Linked DNA regions of Stegostoma tigrinum. The main gene of each other region encodes a partner of the protein of the gene in region 3 in a complex. Links are inferred from orthologs where the notes say so. Each region holds a gene or a part of one and is shown on either strand. Other genes may lie near its edges.

Evidence for each region.
Region 1: ranbp2 (region 3) and cetn3 share a complex: the UniProt entries of both Homo sapiens proteins name them as parts of the nuclear pore complex. The link is inferred for Stegostoma tigrinum from reciprocal best matches to the Homo sapiens genes RANBP2 and CETN3.
Region 2: ranbp2 (region 3) and nup98 share a complex: the UniProt entries of both Homo sapiens proteins name them as parts of the nuclear pore complex. The link is inferred for Stegostoma tigrinum from reciprocal best matches to the Homo sapiens genes RANBP2 and NUP98.
Region 4: ranbp2 (region 3) and nup188 share a complex: the UniProt entries of both Homo sapiens proteins name them as parts of the nuclear pore complex. The link is inferred for Stegostoma tigrinum from reciprocal best matches to the Homo sapiens genes RANBP2 and NUP188.

What each region holds. Positions count from the first base shown.
Region 1 is NC_081356.1:93,260,206-93,267,301, forward strand, and holds the start of cetn3 (centrin-3), read left to right. Parts: upstream 1-4,074; 5' UTR 4,075-4,153; coding exon 4,154-4,170; intron 4,171-7,096. UniProt on the Homo sapiens protein: Plays a fundamental role in microtubule-organizing center structure and function. As a component of the TREX-2 complex, involved in the export of mRNAs to the cytoplasm through the nuclear pores.
Region 2 is NC_081359.1:111,734,713-111,741,973, reverse strand, and holds the start of nup98 (nuclear pore complex protein Nup98-Nup96), read left to right. Parts: upstream 1-4,240; 5' UTR 4,241-4,494; intron 4,495-4,593; exon of another isoform or gene 4,594-4,868; intron 4,869-7,261. UniProt on the Homo sapiens protein: Plays a role in the nuclear pore complex (NPC) assembly and/or maintenance. NUP98 and NUP96 are involved in the bidirectional transport across the NPC. May anchor NUP153 and TPR to the NPC.
Region 3 is NC_081359.1:65,882,475-65,889,312, forward strand, and holds the start of ranbp2 (E3 SUMO-protein ligase RanBP2), read left to right. Parts: upstream 1-3,816; 5' UTR 3,817-3,983; coding exon 3,984-4,058; intron 4,059-5,295; coding exon 5,296-5,363; intron 5,364-6,838. UniProt on the Homo sapiens protein: E3 SUMO-protein ligase which facilitates SUMO1 and SUMO2 conjugation by UBE2I. Involved in transport factor (Ran-GTP, karyopherin)-mediated protein import via the F-G repeat-containing domain which acts as a docking site for substrates.
Region 4 is NC_081382.1:33,834,777-33,842,342, reverse strand, and holds the start of nup188 (nucleoporin NUP188), read left to right. Parts: upstream 1-4,565; 5' UTR 4,566-4,613; coding exon 4,614-4,642; intron 4,643-7,566. UniProt on the Homo sapiens protein: Component of the nuclear pore complex (NPC), a complex required for the trafficking across the nuclear envelope. Required for proper protein transport into the nucleus.

The DNA.
Region 1 (7,096 bases), on a different chromosome or scaffold from region 3:
GGTCAGCCCAGTTCCCAAAGAACATGATCTTGCTGTTGCCTTAATTTACTCATGAGGCCAGTTCAAGCTGGTCGCAGATGTTCATGATTCTATACACTGACAGTGAATCCAAGCAGAAAATGGTGATATGATCCCGATACAGGGTGACTTTGACCTGCAGGCCTCTCCTGCCTGGAATAGTCATCATACTCAGGCTCACATCCTTCCTGATGGATTCAGAAAAAAAGGCTCTCTGCAACATGCAAACAAGGCAGAAGAGAGTGAGCAGCCCTGCCTAACTCTAGATGTGATTGAAAAACTTTGGTTCCCACCCAGTAATTGAATGTGACTTAGAGCCATAGAATCATAAAGCACAGAAACAGGCCTTCAGCTCAACTTGTCTATATGGACTCTAAATATGACCTTACCAATGTCAGTACAGCCATAACATGACATCCCAATTCCTGTACTCAATGCTCTGACTGATGAAGGCAAGTGTGCGAATTGCCTTCTTTACCACCCTGTCTGTGACGCCACTTTCAAGGAACTATGTACCTAAGAACTCATTCCAGGCCCCCATCATAAACTGTAAGTTCTGTCCTGGTTTATCTTACCAAAATGCGGCACCTCACATTTATCTAAATTTAACTCCACTGCGATTCCTCAGCCCACTGGCCCATCTGATTAAGATCCTGTTGTTCGCTTGAGATAATCTTCCTTCACTGTCCACTATACCATCAATTTTGGTGTCACCCACGAACTTATTAACCATACTTTGTATATTCTCAACTAAATAGTTTATATAATTGAGAAACAACAGTGGACCCAGCACTGATCCTTGCAGCAGACTGCTGGTCCCAGGCTTCCAGTCTGAATAACAATTTTCTACCATTACCATCTGTCTCCAATCGTCAAGACAATTCTGTATCCAGTTGGCCAGCTCCCCCCGATCCCCTGAGATCTAACTTTATTAAGCAGTCTACCATGCCCAGGCCTTGTTGAAGGCTTTGCTAAAGTCTATGTAGACAATGTGTACTGCTATGCATTCATCTGTCTTCTTGGTCACCTCTTCAAAAAAAACACTCAATCAACTTTGTGAGACATGTTTTTCCATGCATAAAGTCATGCTGACTACCCTTAATCAGTGATACCCGGTGTGGCTTCCTCTACATTGGGGAAACCAAGCGGAGGCTTGGGTCGGCTTTGCAGAACACCTACGCTCGGTTCGCAATAAACAACTGCGCCTCCCAGTCGCGAACAATTTTAACTACCCCCCCCCCACCATTCCTTAGATGACATGTCCATCATGGGCCTCCTGCAGTGCCACAATGATGCCACCCGAAGGTTGCAGAAACAGCAACTCACGTTCCGCTTAGGAACCCTGCAGCCCGATGGTATCAATGTGGACTTCACAAGCTTCAAAATCTCCCCTCCCCCCACTGCATCCCAAAACCAGCCCAGCTTGTACCCGCCTCCCTAACCTGTTCTTCCTCTCATCTATCCCCTCCTCCCACCTCAAGTTGCACCTCTATTCCCTACCTACTAACCTCATCCCGCCTCCTTGACCTGTCCGTCCTCCCTGGACTGATCTATCCCCTCCCTACCTCCCCACCCATACTCTCTTCTCCACCTATCTTCTTTTCTCTCCATCTTCGGTCTGCCTCTCCTCTCTCCCTATTTATTTCAGAACCCTCTCCCCATCCCCCTCTCTGATGAAGGGTCTAGGCCGGAAACGTCAGCTTTTGTGCTCCTGAGATGCTGCTTGGTCTGCTGTGTTCATCCAGCTTCACACTTTGTTACCCCTAATCAGTACTTGCCTTTCCAAATGCCTGAAGGTCCTGTCTCTCAGAATCCCCTCCAACAACCTAACCACCATTGGTACACTCACCTGACTGTAGTTCCCTGCCTTTTCCTGCAGACTTTCCTAAATAATGGCACCTCACCTATGACTATAGGTGATGTAAATACCTCTGCTAGGGGGCCCATAATTTCTTCCCTAGCTCCGAAAAGTAGTGGAAGCATTTGTGGTCGTCTTCCAGGATTCTATAGACTCTGGAATAGTCCCTGCAGATTGGAGGGTAGATAATGTCACACCAAGATTCAAAAAGGGAGGGAGAGAGAAAACAGGGAATTATAGACCAGTAAGCCTAATGTTGGTAGTCGAGAAAATTCTCAAATCCATTATCAAGGACTTTATAATGGGGCATTTAGAAAGCAGTGGCAGGATCAGACAGGGAATGCATGGATTTATGAAGGAGAAATCATGCTTGATAAATCTGTTGAAATTCTATGAAGATGTAACTAGTAGAGTTGACAAGGGGGAGCTAGGTGATGTGGTATATTTGAACTTTCAGAAAGTGTTTGACAGAAGTCCCACATAAGAGATTATTGTGCAAGATTAAAGTGCATGGGATGGGGGAAAGTATATTGAGATGGATAGAAAATTGTTTGGCAGAGAAAAAACAAAGAGTAGGGATTAATGGGCCCTTTTCAAATTGGCAGGCAGTAACTAGTGGGATACCATAGGGAGTGGTGCTGGGACCCCAGCTATTCACAATATATTAAATGATTTTGATGAGGGAACAAAATGTAACATCTCAAAGTTTTCTTATGATACCAAGTTTGATGGGAGGGTGAACTGTAACAATGATGTAGATGCCTTCAGCATGGTCGGACATGTTGGGTGAATGGGCAAATCAAAGGCATTTATAGTATAATTTGGATAAATGTAAGGTTATTCACTTCGGAAGCAAAAACAAACAAGCAGATTACTACATGAATGGCTGTAAATTGGGACAGGGGAGTGTGCAGCAGGACCTGGGTGTCCTTGTGTGCCAGCCACTGATGTTAAGCATGCAGGTGCAGCAGGCAGTAAAGAAGGTAAATAGTATGTTGGCCTTCATTGCAAGATGTTTTGAGTACAGGAGCAGTGATGTGTTGTGGCAGTTATACAGAGCCTTGGTGAGGCTGCACCTAGAATATTGTGTGCCATTTTGGTCTCCTTTTCTGAAGAAGTATGCTTTTGATCTCGAGACGGTGCAGTGAAGTTTTGTACCAGGCTGATTTCAGGGATGATGGGACTGACGTATGAGGAGAGATTGACTAGAATAGGATGGTTTTTGCTGGAGATCAGACAAATGAGGGGGGATCCTATAGAAACTAATAAAATTCTAACAGGTCCAGTCTGTAGATGCAGGGAAGATGATCCCGATGATGGGTGCGCCCTGAGTCTGGGTGTGTCAATGGTCCGAGTCTAAGGATTTACAATATACCATTTAGGACGGAGATGGAACATTTCTTCACCCGGAGAGTTGGTGATCCTGTAGAATTCATCACCACAGGAAGTAGTTGATGCCAAAACATTAAATGTATTCAAGAGGTGGCTAGATAATATAGCACTTGGGGCAAATGGGATCAAAAGTTATGGGGAGAAAGCAGGATTAGGCTATTGAGTTAGATGATTAGCTATGTGTGATGAATGGCAGAGCAGGCATGAAGGGCTGAATTGCCGCCTCCTGCTCCTATCTTCGAAGTTGCGCACAACATCCTGGAATACACTTGGTCAGGTCCCGGGAATTTATCTACCTTATGTATTTTAATAACTCCAGCACCACCTCTTTTGTAACGTGGACTCTTTTCAAGATATTCCTATTTATTTTCCGGAGTTCCCAAGCTGCCATGTCTTTCTCCACAGTAAATTCCGATGCCTTTACTGGTTTATGATCCTTCCCAGTTTTGACCTTCGAGTTGAATTCGGTGGGTTGATGCACAGTTTAGTATGCACTCTGATACAATCAACACCACTTTTGAATTCTGACTGCCAGTTTTTGCAAAGTATTTTATATACTGTGAGAACAGTTGTCTGTAGTCTGTCTGGAATGATTACCTATGGCCTCCGCACCTCCCAGCAAAACTCTCTGCGCCACGAACCCCGCCCACGGCCTCTGATGTGTAACCGCGCTCAGCGAGCTTCCATTGACGGTTGGCGAACATCACATTATTGACACCTCTCTTACCCAATTGGAGGATGTGGTTTGCAGGTTGTCCTATCGTAAGCGGAGCTGGTGATGCCCGATTCTGCCGAATGGGCACAGAGGAGAGTCGGAAGGTGGGTCTTGGCGCTGGTACGTCCTCCAGGTTTCGTTGAGTGCAGTCGGGCTCTGTTACGGCTGCGATGAGTTTCCCGCTGAGGTAGGTCGCTGCTTGGTGTCATTGAACGGAGAGCCTTGAAAAACAAAAACCCTGATTTCCCCCCCGCCTTCTTGGTGGGGTTGGGGTTGGGGTTGGGAGGTCAGTGATCCCAAAACGGCGTCCTCTTTGATTTCTCTTTTTTTTGTACAGTTTATGTCAAATATGCGGCCTCTATGTCGCCAGTGGGCAGTTTCTATCACTGCCCTGTGGTGAGGAGGCCGAACGCTAACACCGCCGTTGACAGTTTCCTACACAACGGCTTGTCCTTTTAAACGCCTGAATTACCCGTAGTCTCTCAACACTTCCATCGGCATCAAGTGCCTTTGTATTCGGCCTCAGTTACGCTACTGCTTGGTTTAGTAGTTAGGATTGTGCTGCACAGTGCCATCTAACCGTGTGTGAGTATTGTCGCTGCTGTTTTTCATTTGATTAGCCAGTATCTGGCATGTGTAGCCTCAGTGCCCGACGATGTTCTGGAATTTATCGGTTAACTCGATACAAGTCACATCAGCCACCGCTTTAGGATCATTAGTTGTGGATCTTCAGTTGCTGGAGGTGACATACACCCGTGCAGGGACCCTTCTGTTTGCCAATAAAAGAAGAATACCCAAGCGTTGTGAGTTTTTGAATTAGCTGGGAGCTTGCAGTACCCCTGCTGCATTCTCCATGGCAACATCTGTTCAATCAGAGATAGCAGGAACTGCAGATGCTGGACAATCTGAGATAACAAGGTGCAGAGCTGGATGAACGCAGCAGGCCAAGCAACATCAGAGGAGCAGGAAGGCTGACGTTTCGGGCCGAGACCCCAATCAGTTGACTTGCCAACCAGTCTTTCTGTTTTGTGATTTTTGTTTTTCTGATTTGACTATTTTTGTAGTAGGCTGGTTGGCTGTAACTGGTGGAGTAACACAAGGACCAATACTTAGGCCGTAGCTGTTCACAATATTTATGTGTGTGGCGTATCAATGACTTAGAGTCTGAGTCGTAGAGGTGTACAGCACGGAATCAGATCCTTGGGTCCAACTCGTCCATGCTGACCAGATATCCTAAATTAATTTAATCCCATTTGCCAGCATTTGGCCCACATCCTACTAAACCCTTTTTATTCATATACACATCCAGATGTCTATTAAATGTTGTAATTGTACCAGTCTCCACCACTTCCTCTGGCAACTCATTCCATACCGGCAGTGTCTTCTGCATGCAAAGGTTGCCCCTTAGGTCCTCTTTAAATCTTTCCTCTCTCACCTTAAATCTATGCCCTCCAGTTTTGGACCCCCCTACCCTGGGAAAAGATCTTTATTTATTTAACCTGTCACTGCCCCTTATGGTTTTATAAATGTCTCTAAGGTCATCCGTCAGCCTTCGTCACTCCAGGGAAAATGCAGTACCTCACATTTATCTAAATTAAACTCCATCTTTCACTATTCGGCCCTTTGGCCGCTCTGATCAGGATCCTGTTGTACTCTAAAGTAACCTTCTTTGCTTTCCACTACACCTCCAATTTTGGTGTCATCTGCAGGCTTACAAATCATTGCTCCCATGTTTACATCCAAATCATTTATATAAATAACAAAAAACAGTGCACCCAGCACTGATCCTTGTGGTACACCACTGGTTACAGACCTCCACCACTACCCTCTGTCTTGTACCTTTTGAGCCAGTTTTGTATCCAAGTGGCTAGTTCTCACTGTATTCCATTTGATCTATCCGTGCTAACCAGCTTACCATGAGGAACCGTGTTGAACACCTTGCTGAAGTTCAAATAAATCATGTCCATTGCTCTGCCCTCGTTGATCTTCTTTGTTACTTCTTCAAATAACTCATTCAAGTCAGCGAGACATGATTTCCCAAGCACAAAGCTATGTTGATTGTCCCGTGTCCTGGGGATTTATTCACTTTGTGCATGTTAAGACATTCAGCATCACCACCTCTGTATTTTGGACATTTTTCATGATGTCACTGTTTATTTCCCTATGTTGCCTATCTTCCATATGCTTCTCTGCAATAACTACTGATGTGAAATCCTCATTTAGTATCTCCCCCATTTCCTGCGGTTCCACACTTAAGTGGCCTTGCTAATCAAAAGGAGCCCTGTTCTCTCCCTAGTTAATCTTTCGTCCTTAATGTATTTATAAAATTGCTTCAGATTCTCCTTAATCTATTTATCAAAGCTATCTCAAGTCTCCTTTTTGCCCTCCTGATTTTCCTCATTAAGTATACTCTACTGACTTTATACTCTAAGGATTCACTCCATGTCTATACCTGACATATGCCTCCTTTTTCCTGATCAAAACCTCAATTTCTCCAGTCATCCAGCATTCTCTACACCGATCAAGCTTGCCCTTCACCCTAACAGATTCTCTCTTGGACCCTCGCTATCTCATTTTTGAAAGCTTCCTATTTTCCAGCCATCCCTTTACCTGCAAACATCCACACCCAACCAACATTTGAAAGTTCTTGCCTTATACTGTCAAAATTGGCCTTCCTTCAATTTAGAACTTTAACTTAGATCCGCTCTATCCTTCGTCATCACTATTTTAAAACTGTATTTCCAAATTATGATTTGATACAAAGCTAAATGAGAACATGTTTTGTAAGGAAGATAAAATGTTGCTTAGTGGGATTTAGACAAGGCTCAGTGAGTGAGCAAGAACACGGCAGATGGGATATAATGTGGGCAAAAGTAAAGAAGTTACCTACTTTGGTAGAAGAAACAGATGTGTGGAATATTTTCAAATGGAAACCACTTGGAATGTATAGATGTACAAAGGGACCAAGGTGTCCTTCTTGATAACTCATTGAAAGTTAACAGTCAGGTGCAACAAGCTATTAGACATCTAACAGAATGCTAGCTTTTATTGCAAACCATTTAGCTACAGGAGTAGTGAAGTCTTTCTTCAAATTTAGAGAAGTTTGGTTCGAC
Region 2 (7,261 bases), about 46 Mb from region 3:
TATCCTTACATACAGATAAGGAAGGACACCACTTTGATTGGGACAACACATCCATCCTAGGACAAGCCAAACAGAGACATGCACGAGAATTCCTAGAAGCATGGCATTCCAACCGGAACTCCATCAACAAACACATTGACTTGGAGCCAATCTACCATCCCCTGAGAAAAAGAACAGGAAATGACATCACCAACCCAAGGAAACCTAACCAGATAAATAGAAAGCGGGACATAACACCAGCGCTTCGTCGAAGGCTCACTGATGATGTTACCTAGAATGGTGACGAAACGTCTGAAAACTAACCTTCCAGCTCAGCGAGCAAACTCACATCCAGATCCTCAACCTGAGCTACAAATCTTCTCAAAACTCACTTACAGAATACCGACAGGGCTGGATAGAGTGGATGTGGAGATGTTTCCATCAGTAGGAGAGATTGGGACCTGAAGGCACAGCCTCAGAGTGAAGGAACAACCCTTTAGAACTGAGATGAGGAGGAATTTCTTCAGCCAGAGGGTGGTGAATCTGTGGAACCCATTGCCACAGAGGGCTGTGGAGAACAAGTTATTTAGTGCATTTAAGACAGAGATAGATAGGTTCTTGATAAGTAAGGGGATCACAGCAGGGAGAAGGCAGGAAAATGGAGCTGAGAAACCTAACAGCCAAGATAAAACAATGGAGCAGACCTGATGGACTGATTGGCCTAATTCTACTTCTTTATCTTATGGTATCATAGGGGACCAGAGGAAAAAGAAAGAGAAGCTGCTGTAGGGCCTCTTTCCATGCTGTTTGCACTCTGACTCTGACTCAATGATAAGAGAAAGACCAAAGACCCACCCTTGCATGAGCTTCAGTTGTCATACAGTTTGACTAAAATTCAGTACCATGTGATAGAGGTTCTCCAAATGAACAATGTGAAAATATTGGTTTTGCTCCCCACTATAAACTCTGGTCACTGGCTTCCAAATCCATTCCTGGCCCTTACACCGGACTGAGACTGAAACGTACCAGTTTAAACCTTAGTCTCGCATTCAATCCCATGATGACTTTTCAACCAAATTATCACATCACCCAGGTCCCTAATATTGCCTGGATTCATCCCTATCTCCACACATCTGCTTCTGGAACCTTCATTTATGCTCAAGCTCTGATTACTCTAATGCTCCTCTTGCAGGATTCCCACTTCCTATCCTCAGTAATTTGCAATAACAAAAAGGTAGAAACTTGTGGCAAACCCTATTCACCCTCTGCTCCTGTGTTCCTTGATCCATGTTGGTTGCTTCGATTACAGGGTTCTTTAACTGGTGTTTAACTCTTTCCGTGGCTTTGCCTCCTCCCTATCTCTGTCATCTCCTTCAATCCCACAACTCTCTGAAATCTGTTTGTGTAATTCTGGCTTCTTAAATGTCCCTGATTTTAAGCACTCGACCACAGGCACTGGCAATGATGTCTTCATCTGTTTGGGCCCTCTGCATCACTTGCTCTCTTTCTTTGAATGAGGCAGGTCTTGATGTTTCTGTATGTCCTTCTGCACGTGCTTCAAAGCCTAAATAAGTACAAGATGATGCACAAAATTTTATTGGAGCATGGAGAAAGAGAGACAGAGAAAACTCAGGAGAGAATTCCAGAGTGCAGAGCCCACATTGCTGAAGGCCACCAATGGAGTCATAGAGCTGTACAGCATGGAAACAGGCCCTTCGGTCCAACTCATTCACGCTGACCAGACACCCCCATCTGACCTAGTCCCATTTGCCAGCATTTGGTCCACATCCCTCTATTCACATACACATCCAAATGCCTTTTGAATGTTGTAATTGTACCAGCCGCCACCACTTCCTCTGGCAGCTGAATCCATGCACACACCACCCTCTGTGTGTGAAAAAGTAGCCAAGATAACAAGATGTAGAGCTGAATGAACACAGCAGGCCAAGCAGCATCAGAGGTGCAGGAAGGCTGACGTTCCGGGCCTAGACCCTTCGATACCCAAAACGTCAGCCTTCCTGCTCCTATGATGCTGCTTGCCTGCTGTGTTCATTAGCTCTGCACCTTGTTATCTAACATCCTTATAAATCTTTTTCTGAACCCTTTCAAGTTTCACAACATCCTTCCTAAAGCAGGGAGACCAGAAATGAATGCAGTATTCCGAAGGCAGGCTAGCCAATGTCCTATACTTCAGCAACATGACCTCCCAAATCCTATACTCAATACACTGATCAATAAAGGAAAGCATACCAAACACCTTCTTCACTATCCTATCTACCTGTGTCTCCACTTTCAAAGAACTATAAACTTGCATTCTAAGATCTCTTTGTTCAGCAACACTCAGGCAGGATTGATGAAAATTGGGGATATCACAACAGGCCAGAATTGGGATGGCATGGATATGCCAGAGGGTTGCGGGCCAGTCAGAAATTAGAGAGACAGGGAAGTGTGCGTCCGCGGAGGTATTTTGAAATAATCTTGAGAAGTTTAAAAATCAAGATGTTGTAGCATACAAAATCTAATCTGATCAGTGGCCTGCTCAGCCATTTCAGAGGACGGTTAAGAGTCAACATCTTGCTGTGGGTTGGTAAGTCACATCTAGTTCAGACCAGGAAAGAATGGCAGTCCCCTTCTCTAAAGGACATTGATGAACCAGACAGAATTTCCTAAATCCACACCAGTTTTATTCCAAATACTTTATTGAAGTTAAGTCCCACCATCAGCCATACACATTCCGTTCAAATCTGGATCCCCAGAATATTACTGGGATCTCTGGATCATAAGGCTATTGCCCTGTCCTACGGAAAAAGAATTAAATCAAGTTTTTTAAAAAATTCTTTCATAGGATAAGGACATCACTGGCCAGGCAGCATTTATTGTCCATCCTTAATTACCCTGAGGGCAGTTAAGAGTCAACCACATTGCCGAGGGTCAGGAGTCACATGTAGGCCAGACCAGGTAAGGATGGCAGTGTCCTTCCCTAAAGGGCATTAGTGAGCCAGATAGGTTTTTCCTGACAATCAACAATGGATTCATAATTCCAGATATTCTATTGAATTCGAGTTCCAACATCTGCCATGGTGGGATTTGAACTCAGATCCCAGAATGTTATCCAGGTCTCTGGATTAACAGTCCAGTGATAATACCACTAGGCCATTGCGTCCCCAGTGAGTGCCTCAGTGGTATAGCACTACTGCCTTAAGCACTAGGGACCTGGGTTCAATTCCAGCCTCAGCTGATTGCCTGCATGGGTTTCCACCCACAATCCAAAAAAATGAGTAGATTAGGTGCATTGGCCATGTTAAAATGCCCACAACGTCCAGGAATGTGTGGGTTTGGCAGAGTAGCTGTGGGAAATGGAAGTGCAGGGTTACAGGGATAAGGTAAGAGGGAGATAACAAAGTATGAAGCTGGATGAACACAGCAGGCCAAGCAGCATCTCAGAGCACAAAAGCTGACATTTCGGGCCGAGACCGCTTTTGTGCTCCTGAGATGCTGTGCTCATCCAGCTCCACACTTCGTTATCTTGGATTCTCCAGCATCTGCAGTTCCCATTATTTCGGGTAAGAGGGAGAGTCTGGTTGGGATGCTCGTCTGGGCTGGTTTGGACTCGTTGGGCCAAATGGCACGTTCCCACAGGGATTATACAAAAATTTGATGTTGAATCTAATAAACTCTCCAGAGGCTGCCAGGCCTGTTTCCTCTAGGGTTTCTTCTGGGGGCATACAACAACCATTAACTATTTCATGGTCATCATCATGGAGATTAGTTTTACATTCTACATTTTATTGTTCAAATTTACATGTCGCCAGCCACTATGATGAGATTTGGCAGACATCTCCAGAAACAGTTGCCGAGGCCTCTGGCTGATCCTTCATCAGAGGGTGTAGGCCTTAAATGTCAACCTTCCTGCTCCTCTGATGCTGCTTGGCCTGTGTTCATCCAGCCCCACACCTTGTTATCTCAGATTCTCCAGCATCTGCAGTTCCCACTATCGCAGCGACCATCCAGTTGAGGCGCAAAAGGAACCTGCAGGACTGAAGGGCCTCCTCACCTCCTATGGACCATTTGGAGGAATTGCCCTTTTAAGAGGCGGGCCGCAGCGGGTAACAACAGCAGCAGCGCTGTAACAGGCAGGATTGTTTGAATACACCAATCACGCACCGTCATAGGGGCGAGCCCAAGTCGCACAGCCAATCGGAACGGCGGATGCGGCTGATTGACGTGAGGGACTGCGGGGAACACCGGACCGGGAAAGAGGGTCAAGTGGGGACCGACGCCGCTATGTTTTACTACTGACCCCGCCTGGAGTGACAGTTGATCGCAGGTTTATGTGCGTATGGGAAACAGGCTGAACCGAGATGGTAACCGAGCTCCCGAAACTGTTGCCGGCGGGAGAAGCAAGAAAGGCAAAGGCCCGAGAATTCGCGGCTTTCGCCTTCATGACCTGCAGCTAGAGCGAATGGCCCCAGAACACTCCGTCTAAGGCCCACGTTGCCCAGTCCTGAATGACATGTAAGGCGACCAATGGGATTGTCAAGATTGTGGGTGGGCGGGGCTTCCGGTCGAGAAAATGACCAATGGAATGTGAGGGCGCTGCCTTTTCGGGAGCCTTTGCGTCTATTAGCCAATGTTGTTGCGAATCAAGTTTGACTGACAGTCAAATAATCCAATCGACGAACACCTTTCCAGACGGATGTTAAGACTGGCCAATCAGTGCGCGCAGCGTGGGCGTGTCCCGTAGATGTCACGTGGGAGAAGTAGGCGGTGCCTGGCCTAGGCGTGTGGTCGAACCTCAGCCGCCTCGGGGGCTACTTGAAGTGTGTAACCGGGACGGAGCGGATGAAGTGACTGACTATAGGGAAGGCTATCCGAGCTGGCAGTGGGCGGTGAGTGAGGCCTGAGCAGAGATAGGCTTGGATCCCGGTGATTGGGGGTGGGTGGATTAACCAGCCTGGGCCTTGACGGGGTTCGGGGTATGGGAAAGGTCAGCTCCAGCAATCAGGCGCTGTAGCTGCGGGGACCCTCCCGACGAGCCGGCCCCCACTTTCCGGGGGGGGGAGGGTCAGGCAGGTTTCCCGACACGGTTTCACAGACACATGGCGGGGGGGGTCTGATTGGACTGTTTTCCCCTTGTATCCGGGTCAAGAATGAAGGGGATAGGCCGAACGGCCTCCTGCGCCGCAGTATTTCGGCTTATTGGTCTATTAAGTGTGTGTTGATAGTAAGGAAAAGTTAACTAGGCCAGGCTTCTTTAGAGGCCAAAAGGCAAACTGAAAAATAGTAAAATACTGACTGATCTTGACAGGGCGGGTTTAGAGAAACAAACTCCCAGACAAGCTCAACGGCTCTGACTGTTTCTCACTCCAGGTACTGAGTTATCATTTCAGGTCCAGGAACAAGCTGCCCCATGTAGTGAATCTGTAGCTGCAAAGGCGTCAGAGTATGTTATAAAGGATATGGAGCATGCTAATATGATCAGGCAGAGTCAGCATGGCCTCATGTCACAGATTTATTTCAGTTTTTTGATATAACAAGAGACTGGATATTTGCTCATCCAAAATGCGCTCATTCCAGAACTACACAGACTACTTAATGGTGTGGGCATGGATATGTTTGTATGTTATGTTTTCTTGGGTCGAGGACTGGCTAGCTAATAGCTAGAGTTTGAGTAGAGGGTTTGTTTTCAGGATGACTGCCTGTAACTAGTAGTGTGTGCAGGGATTAGTTCTGGAGCTACGGTTATTTACTGTCTGTATTAATGAAGCTGAATGTACTGTAGCCACCTTTGTGGATAGCATTAAAAACAGGTGAAAAAGCAAGCAGTGAGTGTGAGAGAGATTAGGGGGATATAGACAGTTAAATGAATGGCTGGAAAAACTCAGTAGATGGGTATAACATCGCAAAATGTGAGGTTATGTACTTTGGCGGGAAGAGTAGAAGAGATGAATATTATTTTAATGGAGAAAGACTGTGGAAAGCTGCAACTCCAAGGGGTAGGGGGCTCTTTTGTGCATGAATCACAAAAAGCTAGCATTGAAGTTCAGTGTGTAATGGGGAAGGCAAAGGGAATAAAATATAAGCTTAGTGTCATCTTGCTGAAATTGGACAAGGTGTTGATCAGACCACAGCTGAAAACTGTGAAGAGTTTTGATCCCCTTATCTAAGGGAAGATATACTGACATTGGATGCATTCCAGAGAAAGTACCTCAGTGGTTAATGGAATTTGGAGTAGAGTTTTTTCTAAATTTAACTTGTCTCTGATTAGAAAAATGTTATTACACACTTCTGAAATAGGTGAGACTTGAACAGGCCACTTATCCCAGGAATAGGGATGTTACCACTCCACTCTGCTACAACAGCCCCTTTTTGGAGCAGAGTTGAATTTTGAGATATATGCAGAACACTTGTTTATACACAATACCAACATGAGGGGCTGAATGACCTCTTTCCCTCATTGTAACCTCCTTGAGTAGAGCTGTTGTATTCACCTGAAACCATTGTCCTGTGAAAATATTGGTCAGTTTAAGTAAGATTAGCAGGTAACTTACGCATAGCTGCTTTGCTTCCGGAATGAGAATTCTGGGGAGATATACAAGTTAGAATACGGCTGCCAGTGACAGTTTGTAAATATGCTCTTCCCATTTGTGGTTGTTCTTTTTTAGTTGTTAGCTGGAATCCTTCTGTCCTCACTAAAAGCTGAGTTCAGCGTTTATGATGAGTATCTCCAGCTAACCAACATGAAGATTTGAAATCATTGCCTTTAGTCCCTGCTGCAAATTCCACTTACACATCATGACTGTGTTTCACTCCTGGTCTATGCTGATACTGAACCAGTCTGTTGGATCAAATATGACATTAGTTTTGCCAAAGACTCTTATTGTTAACCTGAAGGCTGCCTGTTTCCATCCTGTAGCTTAACCTATCTTCTTCCCATCTACAGTTTGTCTCCTGCTGCACCCCTCGTTTGTGACTCTTTTTGACCTCTAGATCTGACTGTTTTAATGCAGTTTCACCTTCTACCCTCAAGAAGACTCTGCTGTTTCTAGTATGATTCGTGGGCAGTTCAGCCCCGTCTTTATTCTTGCTCACCTAAATTGGCTCCTGCTTCCAGCAGTAGTTTGATTTTTTTTTCTCCTCTCCCCTTTAAATCCTTCCATGGCCTCATCCCTCTGATATCTATAACCACCTCCAGCCCTGCTGCTTTTCAGGACTTCTCCATTTCCCTAGAATTTAATTATGTTTGTGAGCATCATCTAGTCAAGTTTTTATTACCCATCCC
Region 3 (6,838 bases):
CCCAAAATCCACAAACCTGCCTGCCCTGGTCGACCCATTGTCTCAGCCTATTCCTGCCCCACTGAACTCATCTCCACCTATCTGGACTCCATTTTCTCCCCTTTGGTCCAGGACTTCCAATTCCCTGGCCCCCAACACCTCATTTTCACCATGGACATCCAGTCCCTATACACTTGCATTCCCCATGCAGATGGCGTCAAGGCCCACCGCTTCTTCCTGTCCCGCAGGCCCGACCAATCCCCCTCCACCGAAACCCTCATCCGCCTAGCCGAACTCGTCCTCACCCTCAACAACTTCTCTTTCGATTCCTCCCACTTCCTACAGACTAAGCGGGTGGCCATGGGTACCCGCATGGGCCCAAGCTATGCCTGCCTCTTTGTAGGTTACGTGGAACAGTCCCTCTTCCGCACCTACACAGGCCCCAAACCCCACCTCTTCCTCCGTTACATTGATGACTATATCGGCATTGCCTCTTGCTCCCCAGAGGAGCTCAAACAGTTCATCCACTTCACCAACACCTTCCACCCCAACCTCACGTTCACCTGGGCCATCTCCAGCACATCCCTCACCTTCCTGGACCTCTCTGTCTCCATCTCAGCTAACCAGCTAGAAACTGATGTCCAATTAAAGCCCAATGACTCCATCAGCTACCTAGAATACACCTCCTCCCACCCACCCTCCTGCAGAAATTCCATCCCTTATTCCCAATTCCTCTGCCTCCACCGCATCTGCTCCCAGGATGAGGCATTCCACTCCCGCACATCCCAGATGTCCACGTTCTTCAAGGACCGCAACTTTCCCCCCACAGTGGTCGAGAACGCCCTTGACCGCGTCTCCCGCATTTCCCGCAACACATCCCTCACACCCCACCCCCGCCACAACCGCCTTAAGAGAATCCCCCTCGCCCTCACATACCATCCCACCAACCTCCGGATACAACGCATCATCTTCCGACACTTCCGCCATCTAAAATCTGACCACACCACCCAAGCTATTTTTCCATCCCCACCCTTGTCTGCCTTCCGGAGAGACCAATCTCTCCGCGACTCCCTTGTCCGCTCCACACTCCCCTCCAACCCCACCACACCCAGCACCTTCCCCTGCAACCACAGGAAGTGCTACACTTGCCCCCATACCTCCTCCCTCACCCCTATCCCAGGCCCCAAGATGACCTTCCATATCAAGCAGATGTTCACCTGCACATCTGCCAATGTGGTATATTGTATCCATTGTACCCGGTGTGGCTTCCTCTACATTGGGGGAACCAAGCAGAGGCTTGGGGACCGCTTTGCAGAACACCTCCACTCGGTTCGCAACAAACAACTGCACCTCCCAGTCGCGAATCATTTTAACTCCCCCACCCATTCCTCAGACGACATGTCCATCATGGGCCACAATGATGCCACCCGAAGGTTGCAGGAATAGCAACTCATATTCCGCTTGGGAACCCTGCAGCCCAATGTTATCAATGTGGACTTCACCAGCTTCAAAATCTCCCCTTCCCCCACTGCATCCAAAAACCAGCCCAGCCTGTCTCTGCTTCCCTAACCTGTTCTTCCTCTCACCCATCCCTTCCTCCCACCTCAAGCCGCACCTCCATTTCCTACCTACCACCTCATCCCGCCTCCTTGACCTGTCCGTCTTCCCTGGACTGACCTATCCCCTCCCTACCTGCTCACCGATACTCTCCTCTCCACCTATCTTCTTTTCTCTCCATCTTCGGTCTGCCTCCCCTTCTCTCCCTATTTATTCCAGTTCCCTCTCCCCATCCCCCTCTCTGATGAAGGGTCTAGGCCCGAAACGTCAGCTTTTGTGCTCCTGAGATGCTGCTTGGCCTGCTGTGTTCATCCAGCTCCACAACTTGTTATCTTGAAATAGCAGAAATCCAAATTTAATTTTGATAAGACTAGTAACCCATTTCCAGAGTTGAGCACTGCGGAGTCAGTCAGGGTGCAACGTTCAATATATTGACGAGATCATTAAATGGAGGTGCCGGTTTTGGACTGGGGTTGACAAAGTCAGAACTCACAGGACACCAGGTTTTGGCCCAACAGATTTATTGCAAATCACAAGCTTTTCGAGTGTAGCCCTTTGATCGGGTGCAGTGAGAGAGAAGCACACAGACATAGAGTTTATAGGCAGAGAGATCAAGGGCTCAGAGATCAAAAGATCATGCTAACTGGTGTGGGTGGAGTGTCAGATAATAAGTCTCTGCAGGTGACCATGAGTGTTGGACCGTGAGAAAAGTGTCAACAGCTGATTACCCAGTGAAGGGATGATCTATAATCTGGCTAATTGAGACAGAGAGAGAATTACAAAAAATCAAAAGCAAGATGTTGCTGGAGACATACTAAATGACTGGAATAACATGATAGGTATAAGAGTCACATGCTGAAGGCCTAACCAAAGTAGTAAGTATGAGAGATCATGACAATTTATCAAGGAGATGGTGTCAAAACAGCCAATAAGGAAGACTTTACAGGTGCAGAAGTGCGTTGAGGTCACATGTAGCATGACATGAACTCAAGATCACAGTTGAGGCCGTCTTCATGGGTACAGAACTTGGTTATCAGTCCCTGCTTGGTGTTTCTGCATTGTTGTGTTTCTTGAAGTCCACTTTGGAGGATGCTTACCCAACAATCGGAGGCTGAATACTTTTGACTGCTGAATTGTTTCCTGACTGGGAGGCAACACTCCTGTCTGGCTTCAGCAGTCAAAGCCACCTGATGAAGGTGCTCCAAAAGCTTGTGATTTCAAATAAACCTGTTCGACTATAGCCGAGGGTCCTGTAACTTCTGACTTCGAAAAAGTCAACCCAAGTGGTAACCTACAACTTGCCTAGAGCAGTTGTCATTTCAATTGTGTACAGTGGAAATGAATGCATCAATTTATGGTTGCAACTGCAGGAGCATAAATTCATACAATGGAGCAGTTTTTTTCACTGTTAGTAGCCAGTCAATAAGAGTTAACCTTTTGAGACCAGTGACCCTTTATTAGAATCTTTCTGATGAAGAGTCACTGCATGTGAAATGTAAACTGTCTTCCTCTTTACAGATCCTGCCTGGCCTGCTGAGTTTTCCAGTAATTTCTGTTTTTGTTTCTGATTTCCAACATCTGCAGTTCTTTTTTTTTATATAATAGATTGGAACACGTGCATATTTGGTAGTTTCGGTGTCCCACATTGTAAATAGTAACACATGCCATGCAATTTTGTTATTTTTGCAACTGAAAATGTTGTTCGGCATAGAAATACAACACAAAGTACACAGAGTGGTACTCAAGTGCTCATGGTTTGCCATAGTAACCTGCCTTTTGCTCACTACAAAATATTCAATTTAGTGCCAATGCAATAAAGACATAATACAAACTAGATTCGAAACCAGATGCCAGAATTTGAAACAAAAACAAAAACTAGTGGAAAAGCTCAGCAAGTCTGGCAGCATCTGTGGAGAGAATGCAGAGATAACGTTACACGTCCTGACCCTTTCTGAATAAGTGAGTTCTCTTATTAATCTATCTTCACAGATACTGCCAGACCTGCCGAGGTTTTCCAGCAATTTCTGTTTTTGCACAAAATAAACTGACCTCCTGTGAGTTTGTGACAAAAGATTACACCTTTTATGTGTGAACACACGTTCAGTGACCGGATTAAACCTCTCACTATGGAGCATCAAAATAAAACTGCTCATTCGAATCCAAAACTTCAACCTCGCGAGATTTGGATGTAATCTCGCATACGTTGTGGCCGTTACCTCGGGATTACGTCCGGCGTTCCTTGTGACGTCAGCGGCAGGCCTGTGATTGGCGAGCGTCGGGCGAAGGCTCAGGCGCAGTGTGCGCCATTAGGCACAGTTTGGCCGCGCGGCATCGCGGAACCGGTGTTGAAAGCTCTGTGTTCACCATCGGAAGGGATGGTGTAGGACCGGAACTGGTCTGTTGAGGAGCGGCGTTTATCAAACCTTGTACACACAGCGGCCTGAGGCATGATGCGCAGCAAGGCCGAGGTGGATAGGTACATTGCCTCGGTGCAGGGCGTCACGCCGCTGTCGCCCCGTGAGGTGAGTGTCCAACGCTGCGGGCTGCGCTGGCCAGGAAAGCGCGGGCAGTGCAGATTGTGGCCTCAGCTCCTAGGCCTCGCCCCTCGCAGGCTCTGCGGTTGTGTTCTGAGGAGTTAAGCAAAAATCTATCAATTTGTTAAGCAGCTGTAGTTTAGCACTTTGTTTCATAGTGCAGGCGGCAGTGGTCTCTTGAAGTTTGGCGATGCTGGATTCTATAAACTAAGCTCATCCAGACTTTCAGTTTTGATCCCGCTTTTGAAGAAACTAAACTAGTCATAGAGGCTTAATAGGCTTGGGGACCGCTTTGCAGAACACCTCCGCTCAGTTCGCAACAAACAACTGCACCTCCCAGTCGCACACCATTTCCACTCCCCCTCCCATTCTCTTGATGACATGTCCATCATGGGCCTCCTGCAGTCCCACAATGATGCCACCCGAAGGTTGCAGGAACAGCAACTCATATTCCGCCTGGGAACCCTGCAGCCATATGGTATCAATGTGGACTTCACCAGTTTCAAAATCTCCCCTTCCCCCACTGCATCCCTAAACCAGCCCAGTTCACCCCCTCCCCCCACTGCACCACACAACCAGCCCAGCTCTTCCCCCCCACCCACTGCATCCCAAAACCAGTCCAACCTGTCTCTGCCTCCCTAACCGGTTCTTCCTCTCACCCATCCCTTCCTCCCACCCCCAGCCGCACCCCCAGCTACCTACTAACCTCATCCCACCTCCTTGACCTGTCCGTCTTCCCTGGACTGACCTATCCCCTCCCTACCTCCCCACCTACACCCTCTCCACCTATCTTCTTTGCTCTCCATCTTCGGCCCGCCTCCCCCTCTCTCCCTATTTATTCCAGTTCCCTCCCCCCATCCCCCTCTCTGATGAAGGGTCTAGGCCCGAAACGTCAGCTTTTGTGCTCCTGAGATGCTGCTTGGCCTGCTGTGTTCATCCAGCCTCACATTTTATTATCTTGGAATCTCCAGCATCTGCAGTTCCCATTATCTCTGATAGAGGCTTAATAGATAGTTTCTATTCACATCAGCATGTGAAATATACGAATTGCTACAAGTAGTTCATTGACTTCTTATTTTGTTTGCAGATGTAATAATGGTTTGTACCGATTGATGAATTTTATGCAGCGAGCTGTTAAACAAATTTGTATATCCCCAGGAATTTTTCTGAAGTGTACTCTTTAAATTTTTGTCTATTTCACATCACCTTCCAACTTCCTTTTCAGAAATCCCTCAAAGGGTTTTTGTTTGCAAAACTCTATTATGAAGCCAAGGAGTATGAACTTGCAAAGAGGTAAAGAATTTTTTCCAGTATGTGCTATTTTAAAACAAATCTCCTTGGGCTATCCTAAAAGTTTTACAGTTTATGCACTGACTAAAGTTGGCTGACTAATCAAAACCACAAAATCCATGTTGTAGTGATAAGAAACAATATAAATGCTGAAATCTTTTAAAATACTTATGTTATCCATCTTGTTCTCTGTATCCAGTTTTAAACTCTAACTTTTCCAATTGTATTCTGTTACCAGATGTTTTTCTGTTCCTGATGTTAGTGTGTATGTAATGTATACAGAGAGGAAGATCAACTCCTACAGTGCTTTAAAATAGTGAATTGTCCTGATGTGCTTGAAAAAAGCACTATAATATGGTATATGAGACTGAGCCATTTGACTTAAAAAGACAGATAACAAAAAACTGTCGTAGGAGCAGGTCCTTTGTGCCTTAAAGGAGGAAGGCGAGGCAGAGAGCTATAGGGAAAGTATTCTATAGCCTGTGACTGAAAAACTGAAGGTATGGATGCTAATCAGGAACAAAAACAAGTTGCCAGAAAAGCTCAACAGGTATAGTAGTATCTGTGAAGAAACGACCAGTTAACGTTTTAGGTCTGAGATAATGGGAATTGTAGATGCTGGAGAATCCAAGATAACAAAGTGTGGGGCTGGATGAACACAGGCCAAGCAGCATCTTAGGAGCACAAAAGCTGACGTTTCGGACCTAGACCCTTCATCAGAAATGTCACCCCAGCTGCCATCTTTTCTGAGGAAGGAAAACATCTGTTTGTATGCTGAAAATATTCATAAAGTCAGGAGGTATGGGATGCAGGGTGATTTGGCTCTCTTGATTCAGAATTGGTTGGCTGACAGGAGGCAGAGAGTGGTTGTAGATGGTAAGTATTCTGCCTGGAGGTCAGTGCTGAGTGGTGTCCTGCAGGGCTCTGTTCTTGGGCCTCTGCTCTTTGTAGTTTTTATAAATGACTTGGATGAGAATGTTGAGGGGTGGGTTATTATGTTTGCTGATGACACAAAGGTTGAAGGTGTTGTTGGTAGTATCAAGGGCTATTGCAGGCTTCAGCGAGACATTGACAGAATGCAGAGCTGGGCTGAGAAATGGCAGATAAAGTTCAACCTGGATAAATGCGAAGTGATGCATTTTGGAAGGTCGAAATTAAATGCTGAATATAGGATTAAAGGCAGGATTCTCGGCAGTATGGAGGAACAGCGGGATCTTGGTGTTCAAGTGCATAGCTCCCTCAAAGTTGCTACCCAAGGGGATAAGGTTGTTAAGAAAGCATATGGTGTTTTGGCTTTCATTAACAGGGGGATCAAGTTTAAGAGCTGCGAGGTTATGCTGCAGCTCTACAAAACCCTGGTGAGTCCACACTTGGAGTATTGTGTCCAGTTCTGGTCGCCCTGTTATAGGAAAGATGCGGAGGCTTTGGAGAGGGTGCAAAGGAAGTTTACCAGGATGCTGCCTGGACTGGAAGGCTTG
Region 4 (7,566 bases), on a different chromosome or scaffold from region 3:
TCCAACTTTTGCAACTGGGTAGATCTAACTGACTGCCAGACCTGGAATAGAGATTGTAACGTAAACTGTATTAGTTACAGTTAGATTATAACCTAAAAGTGCCAAATGTTATAGTGAGGCTTTTCATCCACTTGTGAATCAGCCGAAGGAGTCTCAGTAAATCAATTACAAGGGTGAAATTCAACAGTTTGTTAGACATGCCAAGTACTGCTTGGAAATGCCATCAGATTAGAATAGATTGAATGCAGGGAGCCACAAGTTAAGAAGCAACAAATACAAAAATTCTACTGAAAACAAGTAGTTACTGATGCAGAATCACTAACGTTATAGTACTACCGACAGCATCACTTTGCTGAATTAAGGGTACTTGGACTGAGCAGGCTTCAGCTGCCTGATGTATGTACCATCTATCTGATGTAACTAACTGGAAACAAACATTCTATTGACAAAGAGCATAGACGATGTGTGGTATCTGCCACTGCAGCAGATGCAGTGTACAAGTTCTGCCCTCATAAATTTAAGACAAGAATTGATTGTGCACTGTGTTTTGTGTTCTCTATTGTGACATAGGAACAGGAGTAGACCATTCAGCCTCTTGAGCTTCTCCTGTCACTCAATAAGATCATAATGGATCTGTATCTTAATTCCATATATGCCATTGCTAACAAAATCTATCAATCTCAGTTCTGAAACGTTCAACAGACCCAAAGTCAACAGCCTTTTGGGACAGAGTTCTGGACTTCTGTCAGCCATTATGTGAAGAATTGCTTGCAGACCTCACCTATGAACAGCTGAGCTCTATTTTTAAGGTTGTGTTCCCTAGTTCTGGGTTCTTTCACCACAGCACAGTGTGGTCTTACTAGCCTATTTTAATCATCTTCAAATGATCTTTAATCTTCCACTGATATTCTGAGTGCCTTTTGCTGGGTCCTAAATCAGAGCTTTGTTCAACTGTAACATTACTTGTACCTCTTTGTATTCCAGCTCTCTTGAGGTATAGAGACCAATATTCCATAGCCTTTTAAATCAGCTTCAATAAAGTTACACCAAATGTTTTTCTTTACTGAATTATTCAGACTTCCTACCCTTTGTGATTCTGGGCATTTTATTCTGTTCTTTCGTCAACTGTCTTTTTTCTCCCTGGTGACTAAACATTTTGATTTCAAGATCTCTGTCCAAATACAGTGCTACATGTGAAATTCACTCTTCTACCATCACCCACAGATAAGAATAACATATAATTCATAGATTAGTTTCCTATTTCTGCTGGTAAGGTTTTTGTTATATCTTTTGAGCTTGAAACAAAGCATGCGAATGAGCAACAAGATATTTGATTAGATATATGGAAGCAGGAAGTTTTCTTTCTTAGGAAAATTATGACAGATTTTAAATGCAGTAGCTGATTATTTTTTGTACATATGGATAAAACTAAACCTCTTCACAAAATACAATTCCTCTTATTGGAAGTGGAAACCTGGAGGGATGGCTGTTCAGTCATACAGCACAGAAACAGACTCTTCAGTCCAACTGGTCTGCGCCAACCAGACATCTCAATATGACCTAGTCCCATTTGCCAGCATTTGGCCCATGTCCCTCTAAATCCTTCCTACTCATATCAATGTTGTAATTTAAAGTCGCCTAAATGGCTTCCTCTGGCAGCTCATTCCATACATGCATCACCCTGTGCGTAAAAAAAAACCCCTCGGGTCCTTTTTAAAATCACTCACTTTAAACTCTTAATAATAAAATGTGAGGCTGGATGAACACAGCAGGCCCAGCAGCATCTCAGGAGCACCTGAGAAGCTGCTGGGCCTGCTGTGTTAATCCAGCCTCACATTTTATTATCTTGGATTCTCCAGCATCTGCAGTTCCCATTATCACTTTAAACCCTTTAAGTTTTGGACTTCCCCACCTTAGGGGAAAAGACCTGACTATTCACCCTATCCGTGCATCTCATTATTTTATAAACTTCTGTAAGGTCACCCCCTGGCCTCTGACACTCCAGGGAAAAAAGCCCTAGCCTATGCTGCCTCTCCCTGAAACTCAAATCCTCCAGACACCGCAACATCCTTGTAAATCTGCGCCTTCTCAAATTTAACAATGCCTTTGCTACAGAAAGATGTCCAGGATTGTGCATAGTATTCTAAAAGTGGCCTCCCCAGTGTCCTGTACAACCACAGCACAGCATCTCAATTGCTACACTCAATGTTATGGCCAGTAAAGACAAACATGCCAAATGCCGCCTTCATCATCCTGTCTACTTGTGACTCCACTTTAAAGGAGCTACAAATCTGTATCCCTAGGTCTCTTTGTTCAGCAACACTCACCAGGACACTACCATCAGTTCTCAAAGTTAGGATTTGTTTAAAAATGAAGCTTATAATTAATGTTCATTAAAACCAAGTTCTAACTGTAATTTGAAAACCTAGATTTTAATAAAAGGACAGAGAAAATGAGTTTGCAAACCTTGGACTGCAAAATACCAAGGCATATTGGAGAAAATCAGTAAACAAAAACTTTAAGTTTGAATATCACGAATTCAAGACAAGTAAAAATCATCAAAAACTGCTCATTCAGGACAAATGAGAAATCACAATTACCTAAAGTTTAGACAATTTTTTTTACATCTCATCATTAGTCTATTGTTTGAAAGAACTTGCATTTATTCAGCACCTTATGTAAACTCAGGGTGCCCTAAACTCTTTACAGTCAAGTAAATACTGAATGTAGTCACTGTGGCAACTTAGTAGGCAATTGGCAAACAGCAAGGCTACACAATCTTCGATGAAATAATGACTAGCTAATCTGTTTAGTGATAGTTGAAGGATAAACATTAGCCTTAACACTAAGGGGAACTTGTCCGTTCTTATTCCAAAAGATGTTATAAATCTTCAACATTCACCCAGTATATCAAATGGGGCCTTTTTTAAAACCTCCCTTCTGAAATAACAAACTTCCAGCAGTGTAGCATTCCTTTAGCATCACACTGATCTGGATACCTATTGTGTTTAATTTTCAACAGTGGGACTTGAACCAACAAACTGACTGATTAGTGAGGGATCTACCACTGAGTACAGACTGATTCAATTTTTCAGAAATGAGATTCAAGAATTGATGTTTATTGCTGTATCTGCAGCTACTTAACTACCATAATAGTGAAAGCTAAATGCATTTAACACACTACATATGACTTTAACCAGTGTTTTGTTGAAAAGCAAAATTTAAGTGAATGTCATTACAATGTATGTACTTCTCCTTCTTCACGAATAACAAATGAACGACCATCAGTGAATATAGTCCATTCATAAGAACAGAAACAAACCCAGCAATTTTTCATTGTTCTTCGAATTTTAGAGTCTAAAGATATGCTTGCAACTTGTGACGTCACCGTTATATACACACGTAGGATGTTAAGAGGGTATTAATACCTTGATTTGATTTTTAGTCAGGAATTTCATGGCTTTTTAAACACATTTGGGAGTAAATTTTGTTTTAAATTTAACCAGTGAGAGTGACTGGCCAATGTTGAAAACCCGATCTTTGATAATCCCTACGCAAAAAGTTTAATGTCAGCAAGTAATCAGTTTCAAAGACACCAACTCCTAGTTATTTTTCCAAGGGCACATCAAACAGTGGCATTTGAAACCAAATTTACAAAATTTCATTCTACTCGAATGAGACAAGGAAAGTTTGAGAGTGTATTTAGATGGAAACAGTTGACAGCAACCCATTGGCAACAGCGGGGTTCAGAAAACAGATTGCACATACTCAGTACAAAATGTCCAAGCAGGCAAAATAAAATTAACAATCAAGAGTTTAGTACTCAAATTTCAATTGTTATATTAGGGGTGTCAGTCAAATATAGCAAACCACTGGTAGATAACGTAAACTGATAGTCAAATAAGTCTTTCAGCACAGCAATGGTTTGATTAAGCTGTTCATTTAGTTCCAGATAGATAAGGTACACACCCTAACTGTCCAGTTAAAATTCAAACGAGAGGGAGGGGTCGGAATATCGTTTAAAAAAAAAAATCAGACGAACGGTTTACAAAACATGGATTTTAGCGGAGTCAAACAGTAAAAGAAATAATTTTCTCAGCCAGATCTCTATAGTGGCCTTCGATAAAGAATAATAGCAAGGGATAGCCATTTATAAGAATTCGCTGGTGCAAGAAAAGCGTTCGATTACTCGTAGAGAAATGAAAATAATGATAGAATGAATATTACCATCTAGCGGAAAAGAAATCTAGACTAAAACTAATGTGCATATTTTTTTAAGAAAAACCAATCTCACCAAACGCAAGAGAGGAGCAGGAAGGCTGAGGTTTCAGGGATAGACCCGAAACCTCAGCCTTCCTGCTCCTCTAATGCTACTTAGTATACTCTATTCATCCAGCCCTACACCTCATTATCTCAGATTCTCTAGCATCCACCTTTCCTACTATCTCTCACCAAATAGACTCACCTGTCACCTTCCAGGAGGCGGCCATAATGAAAGGCCAATCACGTGACACGAACAGTACCGTTGAAGTCACGTGCAGAGGGCCGTGGCACCCATGGATGGTCACGTGCAGTGGGTCGGCTTGGATGTTGGTCACGTGAGTGCGTTGGCAATGGCGGCGGCGGCGGGCCCTTACGTGAGGTAAAATGAAATATATGAAACTTTATTTTTTTCTTAAAAAACAAAATGGAAAGCACAGTTTGAGTTTGCGCCGATCAGTTCTGCGAAGCAAGTGTGTTTTCTCGGAAACAAGACCCGGTGGCCGGTATTTGTCTGTCTATCTGTGTGTGTGGTTCCTGTGGGAGCGCGGGGCTACAGTTGGTAAATGGATGAGAACGCGGTGAACACGAGTTTACGTTCAAACTCTATCGTGCCAGGAAAGGGTTTTGGTTCTTTTGGGATCATAATTTTAGATTTTTAACTTGTTCACTTCGTAGATAGACCATTGTACATTGTGGCTGTACCGGTAACTTATTTTCCCCTCGCTCCGTTAAGGGACACAAATTTACGAGAATCTGACAGGAAACTGTTTCTGTTCTCTCAACCCCCCACCCCCTTCCTGTCGCTCAATGATCTGAAAAGTTCTGCAGTATCTTCAAATAGCACCTGATACTCTCGGGTCGTTACCAACACTGAAAAGCAGTTCCAGCGTCTATAATTTAGAAGTCCATACATCTCCACAATTCAGTTTTAGTCTGCCCATCTAATCTGTGTCTGGCTATTCCAGTTCAAGATATAAGGAAAGTTTAGTGCAGTGCAATTTCTTTCCTATAATAGTGTCAATGAGACTGACTGGTTACTGGGATCGTACTTTTGTTTCAATTGACTGTATTTCAACATTAAAAATACAGTTTTCTTGTTTAAAAAAAACCTCTCCTTTTATTTTCTCCCTCATTTCACCCAGTGGAGACAGTATGAGGAGCTAGTACTGTTAACACAACTTTTGTAGTGCTTGGTGAGTTCTACAGTTAGCAGCCCACGCAGTTACAATAGTTTCTTGTCAGTGATGGTGGAGTAAACTTGTTATCATCTTGATATGAAGTTCAGATTTTTTTTATGGATACTTGATTAAATATGGCCAATATATCATGCAACCAGAATGTGGGGAGCAAAGAATAGTTGATGTTTTAAGTGCAAATATTAACTTTTTTGATTTTGTTCTTCAGTGACAGAACTTTAGGTCGTTTGATTTTGAAGTGTCCTTTTTCTGCTGAATGATGTTGGTGCTATCATTCAAGAGACATTCACTGAGCTAAATCGCCCATAGGGATGTGTAGATTAGGTGGTTTATAGAGGGATGGGTCTGTGTGGGCTGTTCTGAGGTTCGGTATGGACGTGGAGGGCCAAAGGGCCTGTTTCCACACTGTAGGGTTTCAATGATTCTGTGTCATCTTGACAATTGTGCAGGACAAATTTGTTTGTTCACAGGATAATTTTGACTTGCACGATTAAGTGGTACATCCAAGGTGTTTTTCCTCAACATTTCCTTTCTCTTCCTCTCTTTTTTCCCTTAAGATTTCCCTTTAAATCTTTTTTCTTTTGAAGTTTTTAGTTACCTGTTGTAATATTTATTTGGCTTGGTTTAATTTTATCCTGTTACCTTGTGTAGAGCTTTGGGATATTCTCCTGTGTTCATGCTCGTCATTCCAGCACTGCAGCTGGTTACTTGGCTCTTTGATTCCACTCTGAATTCTGTATAAATGCAACTTATTGTTAATGAGTCACATTTTGTGGTATGCACTTCGTGCCACCTGCTTGATGTATGGTATGTTTGGGCAGCACTAGCTTCTTTGGCCATCAAATAAAGGGTTTAGGGACTGCTATTTTGCCACTGGTCTACCAACTCCCTTTATGTATTATGTCTTTAAAGTTAATATCTGCAATTTTCTTTTGCTGCCCCAGTCCCTGGTGTAAAGTTTCTTTTTAAAAAAGCATTTGTTTGAAAATTATTTTCAATCTTAAAATATTTTCTAGGGATTAAAAGAAGTTTTGTTTCTCCTCAGACTGGAGCTGCTAGCTTCTATTGTAGAAATATCGAAGCCCCAGTGTGGAAAAAGGCCATTCAGCCAACAAGTCCATGCTGACTCTCCAAAGAGCATCCCACCCAAATTCACCACCCCACCCTATCTTTGTAAACTTGTATTTCCCATGGCTAGTTCACCTAACCTGCACGTCTTTGAACTGTGGAAGGAAACTTCTGGACAAAATCAGCACAGACACAGACACAGAGAACGCACACAGGCGCCTGAGGCTGGGATTGAGCCCAGGTCCCTGGCGCTGTGAGGTGTGCGTCCGCTTAAATTTAACAAGGAGTTTTTAATAGCTTTTGGGTCATGCAGGATTCATGTATCCTCTTTCAACATGATTTGAATCTGGGTCAGAATTCTTAAAATTCACTCATGGGATGTGGCAATGCTGACCTAGTCAGCAGTACCTCCACTAAATTCTCTGTAAGTGGTAAAGTACCTTCTTGAAGCACTGCAATCCACAGGGGTTAGATACACTGACAATGCTGCAAGGAGAGGAGTGTGCAGTATAGAATAGGGCCTCCATGTTCCAAACCTGAATAGCAAATTCCGATGAATTTTTGGCTCTGCTTTCTATATCAGAAAATATCTACTAAAATTTGGAGCTGGACGATAGCAGAATTAAACACAATGACATACAAATTTGTTAGTGTTAAATTTGGATTCAATAAAAACAAAACATTTTCAGTCTTTTTATCAAGACAAGTCATTAAAATTTAGAGATAATGCCATGGGCACCCGCATGGGCCCCAGCTATGCCTGCCTCTTTGTAGGTTACGTGGAACAGTCCCTCTTCCGCACCTACACAGGCCCCAAACCCCGCCTCTTCCTCCGGTACATTGATGACTGTATCGGCGCCGCCTCTTGCTCCCCAGAGGAGCTCGAACAGTTCATCCACTTCACCAACACCTTCCACCCCAACCTTCAGTTCACCTGGGCCATCTCCAGCACATCCCTCACCTTCCTGGACCTCTCAGTCTCCATCTCAGGCAACCAGCTTGTAACTGATGTCCATTTCCAGCCCACCGACTCCCACAG